Arabidopsis thaliana: one gene and its partner. The protein of the gene in region 1 interacts with the protein of each later gene in a pairwise test. Each region holds a gene or a part of one and is shown on either strand. Other genes may lie near its edges.

Region 1 (7,418 bases):
GTTAAAACTTAGATTAAAATCGATCATGTAACCAGAATGAAACTTTTCCTTTAAGAAAATATATTGGTTTTGACTAAAATCATCTAAAATGAAACATCACTTAGAAATAAGAACTAGTATAATAGAGAGTGTTTTGAGATCAAACCGATTAAAATTGTAAAATAAAAAAAAAATGTTTTCTTTTTTTAATGAAACTCAAAGGATATAATGAAAATTTATATGGTCAAGAGATGAACTTCCACTCAAGTTAATGAATTAGGTCACTTTTCTTGCATCAAACAAACCTTTTTTCATTATGATTTGATCCACATATATAACCTTTCGGATGGCTTAGGGCACAACTTACTCTAATTCAAGTATTTGATGGTTCCCACTTCACTTGGTTCACAAACATTTACAGTTAGTAATCTATACTCAGATTTAACTTGTTATTCCTAATTACATTTTCCTATCTGGCAAATTAACAATATAGATAAACTATTTATCTATCATCAAAAATTGATTGCCAGAAGAAAAAAAGGCTAATTAAAAGAAACGTCAACTTTTTGTTTGGTAGTTAAAGTTTTGTGACTTTTGTCTATAGTATATCTAGTACGGTCTAATTAACATAATCATAAGATAAAAACGATATACAGAATTTGAAATTTGAACAATGTCATGCTATAAGGAAAAGTGTGTTAAGAAAAAAAGTGAGGTTACTAGCTAATATACGATTTTTGTCCACAAGCATAAATAGAGGTAAGCGTTAAGTGTTCCTTTTTGGGAGATGTAACACAATCAACAGTTAAGTTGACTTTTTCAACCTTTTCTAGGGTTTGTGGCCTGTAGGTTCATTGCGTTAACCCAATAACTTCTTATTCTTCTCATTTTTGTTCTTGCTACTATCATCACCATTTTGATGTTAGTAGTCTCACCACTGTTTTCACCTTTTTTTGATAATTGTTTTGTGATATATAAAAAAAATCGATATCTACGTGATATTCTTATTTTAAAAAGTTATATTGATAAGAGCTTTACATATTTTCATTGTCATAAACAGAACCAACCATCTTAGTCATGGTCATCATCATTGTCATAGTCATCATCATCACCATTACGACTAATATTATACATGGACCATAACAGTTTCCACCACATTAACTTGACCGTTTATAAAATGGGAACTAACCTTCCCCATCTTCTCATATGAAAATCCATTTTGTCCTCATTTTCCATTGATTAGTTGCATTCTCTCCCCTAAACGAACAAAGAGTAATCATCAAAAACCATATAATATGCCTCTTAGGATTGAACCCCTATCTCTACTCTTCCTCATTCTCATTATATGCTCTTCATCATTAGGTAAACATATAATTGATATTCATATATTCCATCCTTTTCAATTTATAGTCTTTTAACTTTGTTTTAAGGGATGACTATCAACCTTGCGTCCCAACACATCCATCTTAGTCCGAGATCAGCTTTTGGTATTATCTTGTTGAACATTAGTCTTTTCTTCGTTGTTGAATCTAGTGCCTTAAACTACCTTAATACCATTGATTATTAATTACTATTATATTGGTGAACACTTTTTCCATTCTTTCTCCAAAATTAAAACACATCTAACTAACTAGTATGGGTTGAAATAAATAAGTCACTTAAAGAACAATGTATATTCCGCTAACAGAGTGTTTTCTTTTAGCCATAGTGGAAGGCTCTATCCAGCTCGACGGTGCGAAGATGCATGAGAGTTCCATGCTTTACAAGGTATACATCATACATGTAGATGCTTTACGTTTATATATGTTCTTATCAACATTAGAAATGTTGTTAATGTCCAAATATTGACAAGAATTTATGTGTTTATAATTAAAAAGAGTGAGGAGGTGGGTGTGAAGAAGATGGGTCATAGGAAGTTGATGTTCCACTCGACAGCGGACTACGACGACGCAGGACCCAACCCTAAACACGACCCAAGGAGAAGGCCCGGAGGCAAGGGTTGAATCATCAACACAGAACTATCTCTGTCATTATATATATAGTAGCATATATATAAGCACATGCACTAATATCTATATATCATATATGAATATGTATGTGATGTATCCTCCATTCTGACTCTTTTTGTTTGAGGATGAGCTCAGTGTAAAATACCCTTCGGAAACCCGCTAGTGAAAGGATTAGTGTCTAATAACAAGACATAATAAATCCTTATTTATTATCATCTTATTTCATTGACATATATAATATAGCCATTATATCCTGTGTAATCGTTATATCAGAAAATAAATAAAGTGTTATGGTTATTTTTAGTTCTGTATAGTATTATTATAAATGCGTCTTCTACAATATTTCACATTAGTTGATGATTTCAATCTTATGCAGTCAAACACATAGTAAAAAACTCTTTATCAGCATGATCACTAAACGAAAAAGAAATGAAGACAGATTTTATGCTTATCATAGCTAAAACCTTATATGTCGCTATTACAATAACATAGTACAAATGAAACAAGATTGCAATGGTTGATTTAAAAAAAGAAAATATAAAACTAAAATGAAAAAACAAATATAAAATTAAAACAGTTGCGCATCCAGGGAATCGAACCCTGGTCAGTACCGTGGGAGGGTACTATGATACCACTACACCAGATGCGCTTTTATTCATTGTCTCTTCTCTTACATATTTATAGCGAAGACTAGTTACTATGGTTATACATATTTCACAAGCATACATAAAATTCACATACTAACACTTAAATATGTCTATGTAAATTATTGAAGAGAAACAGAGAAAACGCCTTTTGTTTGGTTACAGAATTTACAAGAATCGATTATACAACCTCTCATAACTCTCTTGACTCCTATCCTTCAACCTTTACTTAGTTTCATACATCTTTGTGTCAACAAATCTTAAATCTTACATATATAATACATTCAAATCAAAACCTTCTCTCTTCTCTATCGGCATCCCAACACAAGTCTTCCTTCTTCGTTTATGGACTCATTCCTACATATTTTCTGAAGGTCTATGTAACCAATGATAGTGTCCTCAAAGACCACATCCTCCAAATTTGCCTCCTCAAATGTCGAACCGGATAATACCGTGTTCCTAAACACCGCACCTTTCAGATTCGATTTCCCGAAATTCACCCGATCGATAACAGCATTAGTGAAATTCACCCCTAGAAAAGAATTCACACTAAAACATTAATTAACATTTTGGTCCATAATTTTACCATATGCTTTCAAATTTCAAGATTTAAGTCTATATACCTTTAAAGCTTGCTTCTACAGCATAAGCTTTTGACATAACAACTTCAGTCATATCTGCACCATCAAACTTAGCCCCAACCATCAAGGCTGCAGAGAGAGTCTTGCCTTTGAGATTAGTTTGATCATTTGTGTAATCACAGAACCTAAGATCCAGTGGTTTGTCATAGACACCATTTGCTTGACCTATCGTGTTACCAACAAATGCTTTTTCACACCGGTCTGGTTCTGTTGATAACGGAGGAAGTCTCTGAAAAAAACAATCCATTTATCCATTTCTTTAAATTCTAAAACATAGCCATCTTCAGACACAAACATAGAAAAGAGAAAGGGCCATATAATGTGACAGACCTGGTTAGCAGCAATAACAGGAGAAGCTATTGTAAGAGTGCAAGCACAGAGAGCTGCGCAAGCGATAGATCCAAGCTCCTTAAGAGGAAAGAGACTCTTCTTTACACCTTCACCATTTTCTCTGTTTTCTCCTGCTGAGAACATAATGCAAATCAAGATCACATACACTACTTTAGCTTCACTTTAAAAGCAAGATTTTGACATAACAATATTCATAAACCCATCTATAAAGATGAATTCATTGAAGGTAAAGCTAAAGATTCTTGAAAATACTTAGAAATTTCGAAGAACCGTACAACCAAGAAGAAGTAGCAGAGAGATCTTGAAAAACCAATTAAAGCAGAGAGAAAAAAGATGACATTTACCGGAGCAGTGTACTGTTACTAAAGATCTAGGCTCACGGCGGAGGTTTACAGAGAAAAACGGTGAAGAGATTTGATTCCTCGTGAATTGAACAGGAAGCGAAGCCATGGAAGTGTGTTTCAGATTTTTGTTCGAACTTGGACAACCATAGAGTTTTATCAATTCGTTATGGATCATGCCTATGACGTGGCATGACAGATCATAATATCAGACTATATACGATTTAGCCCATTGGGCCTGATTACTATTTGGTCCATTTGTAAATCTTTCATCGGTTTTGGATATAATATCAAGTAGTGCAGCCCATCGGTTAAACATCTACAGTATATTATTGATGACTTCTAACCCACGCAAAATATATGATTTACCATGCTAAATACGTAATTAATAGCTTAATAGTAAATATTTTATTTTATATATTTTTATTTATGTTAAAATAAAATTTATATTTGTATTTATTACATTAAAAACGATTTTAAATAATAAATGATTATATTTATTTTGTGTAAGCTAATAAAAGATATTAAAAAAATTGATTAGTATGAGAACATCTTCTACAAATGTAAGGTTATCTTATAAGATACACTCGGAATATTATTAGTAAGATTTTTGTTTCCATAGTCTATCGGATCCTTCTAGGTCAATTAAAAGTTAAAACCCTAGAGCACAAAACCATCATTCATGATTGCACACACTAATTTGTTTGACACAACAATTTCCTAACATTCAACCACAAACTCTTACCTTATCTCGATTTGGTCAATCAGAAAATTTTCAGATTCATTGATCATCATTTACTATGTGTTCTCATATATTTGCGATTTCTTTTACTGCTTAGTCAAAGAGTGGGTAAATCGCCAAGACAAGTTTCAACAATTCTTGTAATTCATGTTACACCACAAACTCTAGTTTTTTTTAACTGTATGTACTTGGAAGAAAACAAGTTTTACTCTGTACAAAATTTACAGCTACAAATCTCCGGAGCCTCTCTTTGAGGTGGAGAGCTCTTACAATCTATTGATTTGTCTCTTATAATAAGTGGAAATCAAATCTAGAACAAAGCTATATAACAAACTCATCTACACGTTAGAGACTCAAATTACACATAATCAACGAATCAATAATCACTACGTTAGAAATTTATCAATACAAAATCCTAAATTGAAAAAAGGATCTTAGGAGAAGGCATTGGAAGATCTTTCTTGTGGAAGTAACGTCAACATCTTTCTCCTTCAACCACTCCTTTACATGATCACTACTTTGCCTCTCTTGGTTTTGGACCCTACAATAATCGCCTGTCAATTTTCAGACAAATCCGTACTGTCTAAAAACCATCTCCAACCGCCACTAATTGCCAAAAACAGAAACATCTGTTCCTTATCATCTCCTGCGTCTACATCAACCGATTGAAACCTCTCCCACTGACCACTTCTTCAAAGATTTTTCTACAAGATGATGATAAATCTTGAGGAGAAGTAACAGAATTGTATCACTTTTTGACTAATTGATGTATCTCCAGAGATCTTAGAGTGGATCTGGTTTTGGACCCACCATTGCTTCATGATCTGCTAGAACCATGTGCTTGTGCCTATCAAGATAGGAACAATGGCATCTGATTTGTTTTCCAAAGTTGGGAAAACGAAACAGGTTTTTTCAAGTAGTCACAGGCAACCCGTAGTTCTGAAATGTTCTTATCTGTCCATCCCAACCACCTGTGACTATGACCATACCCCAAGATAGAGAGCTGGATGCTCTCTGGTAAGAGGACTTGAGAAACTTGTAATGAGATGCATTCATCGCGGATGTGGACAGAGGATTTGCGGGTAGGTTTTCCTCTGGCCATGTCGCACTCCCTTTGGATATTGATCCGGGGACAAATCCTTCGTTGTGAGATAAGCATGATGGAGAAGAAAACGGGAGAGTTGTGTTGTGATCTGAGAATCCACACCATGTTGCTGCAACTGATGCATTGGCGGAGAAACGTTCAAAAGATCGAATCTTTTTGGTTTCTGATTCCTCATCATTGCTCCATATATATACATTGGAGTCCTCACAAGCTGAAACAATGTGTTTTCCATCAGATGTGAGAGATGCTGATGTGAGGCTTCTCGTCTTGCAAACGCCTAAAGATTGAAAAAACAGAGATGGGATTAGTTTAGAATCAATAATAGAGCTATGCAAAAGAAAATGAAAGTTGAAGGAGACATAAAAAGAAACATACCTTTGTATTTTCTGACGACATTGTTGCCTTGGAGAATTCTGACTTTGGAATCCGCGGAAACAACCAGGACTTTAGTCGGTTCTTGTGGTAAGAACTGGAAAAAGCAAGTACGATTTGTTAACATCTCACAAATTTCAAGAGAAGTAAACGAAGTATCTAGAGAAAGGGAAAGACATAGGAGACATTACCTGAAAACCAGTTATGCGTTTATTTGAAGACTTCTTTTTGTTATGCAAATGTATCTGAGAGTCCAGTTCTAAAAATTCTCCAGACATGTTAAAGAATCTGCAACTCCCGTTCAGAGAACCGATGATTCCACCTTGTCCATCCGGACGATAACACACTGCCGATATAATGTCTTTGAGATCTGCCCAATCAACAACGCTGCAACCGGAAATGTTCCAAATTCGAACCTTTCCATCAATTGAACCACTCATGAAATAATTCTCATTTACCGGGTTGAACTGAACAGAGGTTACTGCAAAAAGAAAGTTGCAGGCAACAGGTAATGTAAGATCAATGTAGTAACTGAAAAAGAAAAAGAGATCTAGAAACCAAAAAGAAGAAGAAGCATACCATAACTATTGTGAGCGAAAACTCCAAGACAATCATTGCTACCAACTTTCCAAAGGCGGACAGTTTTATCCATTGACGCCGAAAGCAAATACTACACCAAGAAATTACATAACAAAATGCCTCAGTTTTTCGCTTCCGTTAAAGCAATGGTTGCAAGTTAATATAAGAAAATGCAAAAGATTTTGGAGGCTTACATTATCTTTTGACCATGAGATGTCCAAGACTTCACCCGTGTGCCCACGGAATTCATATAATGGTTTTTCCATAATCCGAAAAACTTTAGGAGGGAAGACAACACAGGCTGAATCAGATGTTTTCCTGAAACTTTCTGTAGTCTTCTTTGGTTTCTCCTCATTTACCAAAACTGGTTTCAACTGAGAAAGATCATTTACCTCAAAGTACATACACGAAGGATCTATCTCGTTAAGGCAATCCCTTCGTAGTCTAGATTTCTTATCCTCAACGACTTTCCACACCCTCACAATCCCATCTTCACCAGAGCTTGCAAGAAACTTCCCATCGTTGCTAAATTTCATCGCCAAGATGGCACCATCATGAGCTTTAATGTCTTGACTCTGATAAAGAGCTGAAAGCTCCTTTGCCTGCTTCTTACAATGCTTAACCTTAACTCTTGAAATCACATCACCATAACCAG
Region 2 (6,018 bases), on another chromosome or scaffold:
TCATATTTGCTGCTGTAAATTTAAAATGACTTTTTTTCAATTTCTAATTTTCCCTTGATCATCTTACAAAAGGACTTATTATTAAATTCACATATGACAATATACATTTTACACACTAACTCACAACCACCACCACTAAAGAAAAAACTAATCAAGACAAAAGAAAAACAGATTAAAGAAAAAATCTAAAGATTCTCCTCCTTCCCTTTATCCAGACGCCAACTGCTTTCTTTTCTTTTCTTTTCCATAAAAAACGCTCACTAATTTCAAAAAGCACACCTATTTCCAATCTTTTTGATATATTATTAATCGTATTCGTATATTATATGGTTTATAAGATACGATCCGATATCTAGTGGGTGGAGTTTTAGCCTTTTACGCTATGAGATACACCTCATGGAGAAACTTGAGACTGATGAATCCACGGCGGCTCCGGCGAAAACCCTCGCGTGATCGCTTTCTTGACCGTAATCCATCATCGGACGATACTCCAGATCATCATCGTGATCGTATACAAACTCCGGCATCTCTATCTCATTCCTCCTCACATGTTCCCACAGATAATCAACTCTGCTTATGTACCTCAGCTTCCCGTACAACCTACCGCAGCCAATCACCACACCAATTAATTAATCAACGTTTTTCTAAAAAAAACTATAGTATCAAGAAAAGTCGTTGACCAGAAAATTAAAAAACGCGGCGGTTAGTTACTCACCCGCCGGAAAATAGAAATCGGCCGCAGGTGGCGAGGAAGAGACGTGATTGAAGACCTGGATGGAGGAAGTAAACCTCCTGAAGATTGTCTCTGACGTTTACCGGAATTGCGTCGTAGATCGCTCGTAGAGCTGAGATACCTGGGAAGTTCTCGCTTCTCTGTACGCCGGTGTGGACGTAGAGTACGGCGAATGGTTTTCTACCTAATCGAGGAAATATCTTCTCCTCTAGATACTTCTTCAACACATCCAGTGACAGAAATCGAGCTGATTTCAGAAACAAAAAAAACTCAAATATAAGAACAAATCTACACAGAGAGAAAAAGAAACAGATCCGATTGATATATCAGTACCTGGGAAGAATTTTCCGATAATACGAAGGATCTTACGGCCACGTTTGTCTCTGCCATGGATCTTGAAGATCTCAAGCTTCTCGATCAGCTGCTCTTGTTCAATCTCCGAAATCTGAGAACTCATCGTTTCTCTCTCTCTCTCTCTCTTTTTTGTTTCGTCGGTGAAATTCACAGTTGAATTATAGAAGAAGAAGGGAACAAAAATTGAGGCGAGTGAAGAAGAAGATGATGATCATTTTAAAAAGGGAAAGACAAAAAAATAAAAAAAATAGTGTATTAATTGGAGGGTAATGGGAGAAACGACGGGCTCTTACGAATATTCTATAGCATCTTCCTTTTTATCATGATCTTCCTCACCTCTTTGTGGGTCCTACATTCCAATAATTATTACCTTTTTCGCCCTCTCTTGATCTTTCGTTGTTAAGCAACTAATCTGGTCCATCCGTTTTTGCTACATCTAACGGCTACTGCCTTTTTTGACTCTTTTCCCGCCCCCCGCCTTAAGCGTTACGTCTCATCACATGATTCATGTAGATTATTGGATAAGATGGGCGTTATTTTGGATCATCCCATCCGATGTTGAGTTAAACTAATCTGAGCTTACAAATTATTAAAGATTATAAAGATCTCTATGTTCATATCTATCCAATGCCCAATGGAATCTTTTAAAAAATATAAGGAAAAACATTATCTTCTGCATATTAAACGGATAATAACAGCGAAACTTGTGGATGGATCATTACAATAGAAAAATACCGAGGAGGCACATTCAAGGAAGGTATTCAATAGGGCACCAAATATTGTAAACGTAATTCTCTAAGTTTCCCATACATCATATATCTGCTACTACTCTACACGCATATATATACAAAATACATGTGTGACTCTCTTATATAGACCATACTTTTAGACATTATACTTACATAAAGCCAGTACTAGATGGCTGTAGATTCTCGAATTAATAGTACCCTAACATTCTTTGGAAGAACCTATGAATCTTTCAATTATAAAATAGTGATGCTCTGGTGTAGGCTAAGTGATACAGATGAAGTTGTAACCTCCTATGGCAACAATAAGCACTTTCATTACTTGAATTTGTATAGAACACCCTATAGCTATCAGGAGGATCAAGTAAACAACATTTACGGATTCACCTTAATATTTTCTGCACCAATACAAAATTTACTGAAGTTGATTGGTCTCATTTGCCTGATCAAGGCTGAATCCAGTCATCTCCGCTAGTTCAGCGAGTTCTATTTCTCCGCTTAAGACCTAATTTATAAAAGAGGTGAAATAGGTACTGACATGTGATGAAATGTACAAGGGGTTCAGAGGATTTACTCACCTTATCATTTATTATCCATGTTGGGAATCCTTCGATCGCAGCATCTGCACATGCCTTGAGTATCTTAGTTCCTTTCTTATATCCATCCGGAAAACATTCCACGTAGTTCAGTTCTTTTGCCGCTTCTCTTCCAAACATCTGTAGATGGATGGAACTATAATGAACATATAATAAAAGCATAAAACTGATTCTTGGCAAACAGGTGATGAATGAACTAACTACCTCTTTTTGCTCTAAGCAGTGAGAACACCAGAATGCCCCATACATTTTAGCTCCAATGGAGTTTAGATGTTTTGCTAAAGCAATAGCATAAGGGCTCGATGATGAACTGATCTCTGTTCTAAAATATGGCAGTTCAATGTCACCAGAGCTGGAAGGAGTGAAACAAAAAACGATCGGGATTAAAAGAGACCACCTGATAAGACTCATACATCTTTCGGAAGCTATTTGTTCACTACTCGTTACAAATGACTAAAATTTCTATCGGGACTCCCCAAAGAAAACTATGAACTTTGATTACCGTGAAGGGATTGGTTGAGCAGTACTGTAAGAAGCAGTCAAGGAGGCAACTACTATGATTGCTAAGCATATCTGCAATCCTACAACTTGCTGTATTTCTTGCAACTTCACATCCTACCACATGCATGGAGCACATTATCATAATCCGAAGTTTAGAAGTTATCTTGAGTCAACATCAGGAAAAAAAAAGAAATGGAAATAAAGGGATACCTTTACAGAGAGGAAAAATAGACTAAATGATAAGAAAGCAGACACCAGACAATACAGGCATGATGATCCTGAGAGTTTTGTGCTAAGGATATACAGGAAATATGCACTAGCAGATGCCATTGCAGTCGTGATCCCAAATAACGCGAAACGCCCATTGCTCTTACTGATTCCAAAAGGTAGATTCCCTTCCCCAAGCTCTGCACTTAGAGCGGTTACTACGCCATACATAACAAATCCAATCACTGGAAGAGGAACACCTGGCAAAATGTAAAAAAGGATTTTCATTGAGTTCAACTTACCTGCAATGCAATGTTGGACAAACAACGAAGACAAAGCACTACATAGAGTGGAGTGAAGCATGCTATTTAACTCTAACAATTCTATGCATACTAAGTACCAAAGCTCCTAAATGATATAGCTTCAAGCAAAGATTCACAGAGACTATCACATGCGAGTATTTAATCATGCCTACTATAAAAGAGAGGACAATTAGCTACATAAATCAAACGCTATAATCAATAAAGCGATGGATAATACCGAAAACGACGGCATAATCGCTGTTGAGGACATCACCGCAAGTGCCACCACCAATAGGGCAAAACGCATCGGAGCCAGTGACCTTGAGGTAAGTCAAATACGCAGTGTCTAACATCCCAATACCGCCGATTCCGGTGTACCAGTTGTATGTCGAACTGTTACTAGTAGATACTTCACTTGTAGACGATGAGGAGGAGGAAGACAGCGACGGTGCCGAATCCTCACCGTTTTCCGGCTCAGATGAAGAACATTTAATCGGAATCGCAGGAAATCTCCGATCAGAGACCTAATTCAGAACATCTGACTTCAAATGACCGATCACACACTACTGTCACTGAAGAAAACACATGACAAGAATTTACCTCGAATCGTCTAGGATAAGAAGTTACCGACGGAGGAGAAACCTCACGGAAGCCGAAATGAAACTGACAAGACGACACAGAAACAAACCTCGCCATCATCGTCGTCGAAGAATCGCTATTCCACCATTGTTAACTTCATCATCTTCTCTCCTCCGCTCCACTATCTCAGCCACTTGTTTCAATATTGGGCCTAAACGAGGCCCAAATACGATAATTTGGATCCATAATTAGTTTATCACAATTGGGCCTTACGGTCTTCTTATCCGTCCGAGTCAGCAAGTTATCCTCTTCAACACGACTCACGAGGCACCGAGTTGGACTTATCATGATTCATTATCTACGCATTGTTTACATTTTGGAATCGACTTTGGTACATAATTGAATTTATCCATAGAAATGATAGAGACTCGAAGATCGGACATAAAACTTGCTGACGTGACACCCATACCTTTGTGTCTGTATGTATTATATAAACGCTATAGAACTAAGAGAAGAAGTATCTAAGTAGCATCAAAGCATTCTAAAAGAAGTTTCAAAGAAGAAGTGAAAATGGAAACCACTGCTTTTAACACAACATCACGAATTGGAAACTGGTCATCGGCTATTTCTCCACCTCTACAAACATGTGGATCTTTCAAGTGCCAATTACCAACACGAAGAGGTGTTATTGTAGCTGATCTTCGAAACTCAAACTTCCGATGGTAAGCTAGCAATCAACGACGAGAATCGCCTTCTCTATCTGATTTTAGATTATGAATAAATATTAAATCTGAGTATTAACTTCTTGCTCAAGGAGGAAAGCAACGACAACAAGCAGAGGAAATGTTGCAGCAGAGGCAGTTAAAATTCCTACGTCAGTACCAGTAAGAGTGGCGCGTGAGCTAGCTCAAGCAGGATACCGCTATCTCGACGTGAGGACACCAGACGAATTCAGCATCGGACATCCGACTAGAGCCATCAACGTACCTTACATGTACAGAGTCGGATCAGGTTTTCATCACCGACCTTAAGGTTCCTCTTATGAGAAAGAGTGAAAATGAAAAACAACTTAAAACTAACACCAAGCCAAAACCGTTGCAGGAATGGTTAAGAACCCGAGTTTTCTAAGACAGGTCTCGTCCCACTTCAGGAAACACGATGAAATCATAATCGTAAGTTTCAGTTTTGACATTCAGAGACTAAATAAACCCCTATGAAGACAATCCCTTGTTTCACAAAATCTCTGATGCACGTAATAAACTACTTCTGCAGGGTTGTGAGAGCGGTCAAATGTCATTTATGGCCTCAACTGATCTTCTCACTGCTGTATGTGTGTAATATCACTTCAATTTATATAGCCGTTATCCGGTTTAGGACAAGCGGGTTTAATGTCGCCACATGTACAGGGCTTCACGGCGATCACAGACATTGCTGGAGGATACGTCGCTTGGACAGAGAATGAGCTGCCGGTAGAAGAGTGAAAACAATCATAGCCATATCACCTCCTGTAATTATCAATAAATTCTGTAGATGTTCTCAACGCAAGTATCAATCATCATTATTATTCTCTAAAACATAGTTTAACTGTCAAATCTATATTGGGTGAAAGCTTTACCGAACTTCGAACACCACAAAGTTTACGGACCAATTAAGGACGGGGATGCATGCCTACACACGTTTAGTTTTCGCCGTTTTAAAATTTTAATACTTAAACTAATTTTTAAATGATAATAGTGAAATTAACATTATTTTAGTTAAAAATTATTAATTACTTTCTTAAAATTTAAGTTTTAAATTGGTTTTAAATTATTATTCTTTAAGTTTAAGTGTTAAATTTATAAAATGATAGAAAAACATATTTATACATGGACAAGATCAAACCGAAAGGAACCGAAACTAATATTATGAAAACTAATATCAATCTCAACACAGGTGTTTCTGTATCTGAATCGTTTACGATCAGTTAATATGATTACTTGCTTTGATTAACAAAGAAATCC

What was found. The genes of interacting proteins can lie anywhere in the genome.
Region 2: the proteins of AT5G53490 (region 1) and LTO1 interact in a two-hybrid assay, tested with the Arabidopsis thaliana proteins (one study listed by BioGRID).

Annotation. Positions count from the first base shown.
Region 1 is NC_003076.8:21,720,548-21,727,965, forward strand, and holds AT5G53490 (Tetratricopeptide repeat (TPR)-like superfamily protein), read right to left. Parts: upstream 4,155-7,418; 5' UTR 4,144-4,154; coding exon 3,969-4,143; intron 3,780-3,968; coding exon of another isoform or gene 3,738-3,779; coding exon 3,604-3,737; intron 3,503-3,603; coding exon 3,256-3,502; intron 3,165-3,255; coding exon 2,941-3,164; 3' UTR 2,688-2,940; downstream 1-2,687. Other genes in the region: AT5G53486 (uncharacterized protein), read left to right, coding at 1,275-1,341, 1,410-1,466, 1,682-1,746, 1,857-1,982; AT5G53500 (Transducin/WD40 repeat-like superfamily protein), read right to left, coding at 5,620-6,089, 6,188-6,281, 6,376-6,665, 6,764-6,854, 6,958-7,418.
Region 2 is NC_003075.7:16,940,485-16,946,502, forward strand, and holds LTO1 (NAD(P)H dehydrogenase (quinone)s), read right to left. Parts: upstream 4,194-6,018; 5' UTR 4,139-4,193; coding exon 4,040-4,138; intron 3,964-4,039; coding exon 3,678-3,963; intron 3,398-3,677; coding exon 3,141-3,397; intron 3,045-3,140; coding exon 2,932-3,044; intron 2,782-2,931; coding exon 2,634-2,781; intron 2,550-2,633; coding exon 2,310-2,549; coding exon of another isoform or gene 2,249-2,309; 3' UTR 1,547-2,248; downstream 1-1,546. Other genes in the region: AT4G35750 (SEC14 cytosolic factor family protein / phosphoglyceride transfer family protein), read right to left, coding at 381-600, 716-980, 1,067-1,190; SEN1 (Rhodanese/Cell cycle control phosphatase superfamily protein), read left to right, coding at 4,589-4,740, 4,833-5,029, 5,120-5,190, 5,291-5,344, 5,425-5,499. UniProt on the Arabidopsis thaliana protein: Thiol-disulfide oxidoreductase catalyzing disulfide bond formation of chloroplast proteins and involved in redox regulation and photosynthetic electron transport.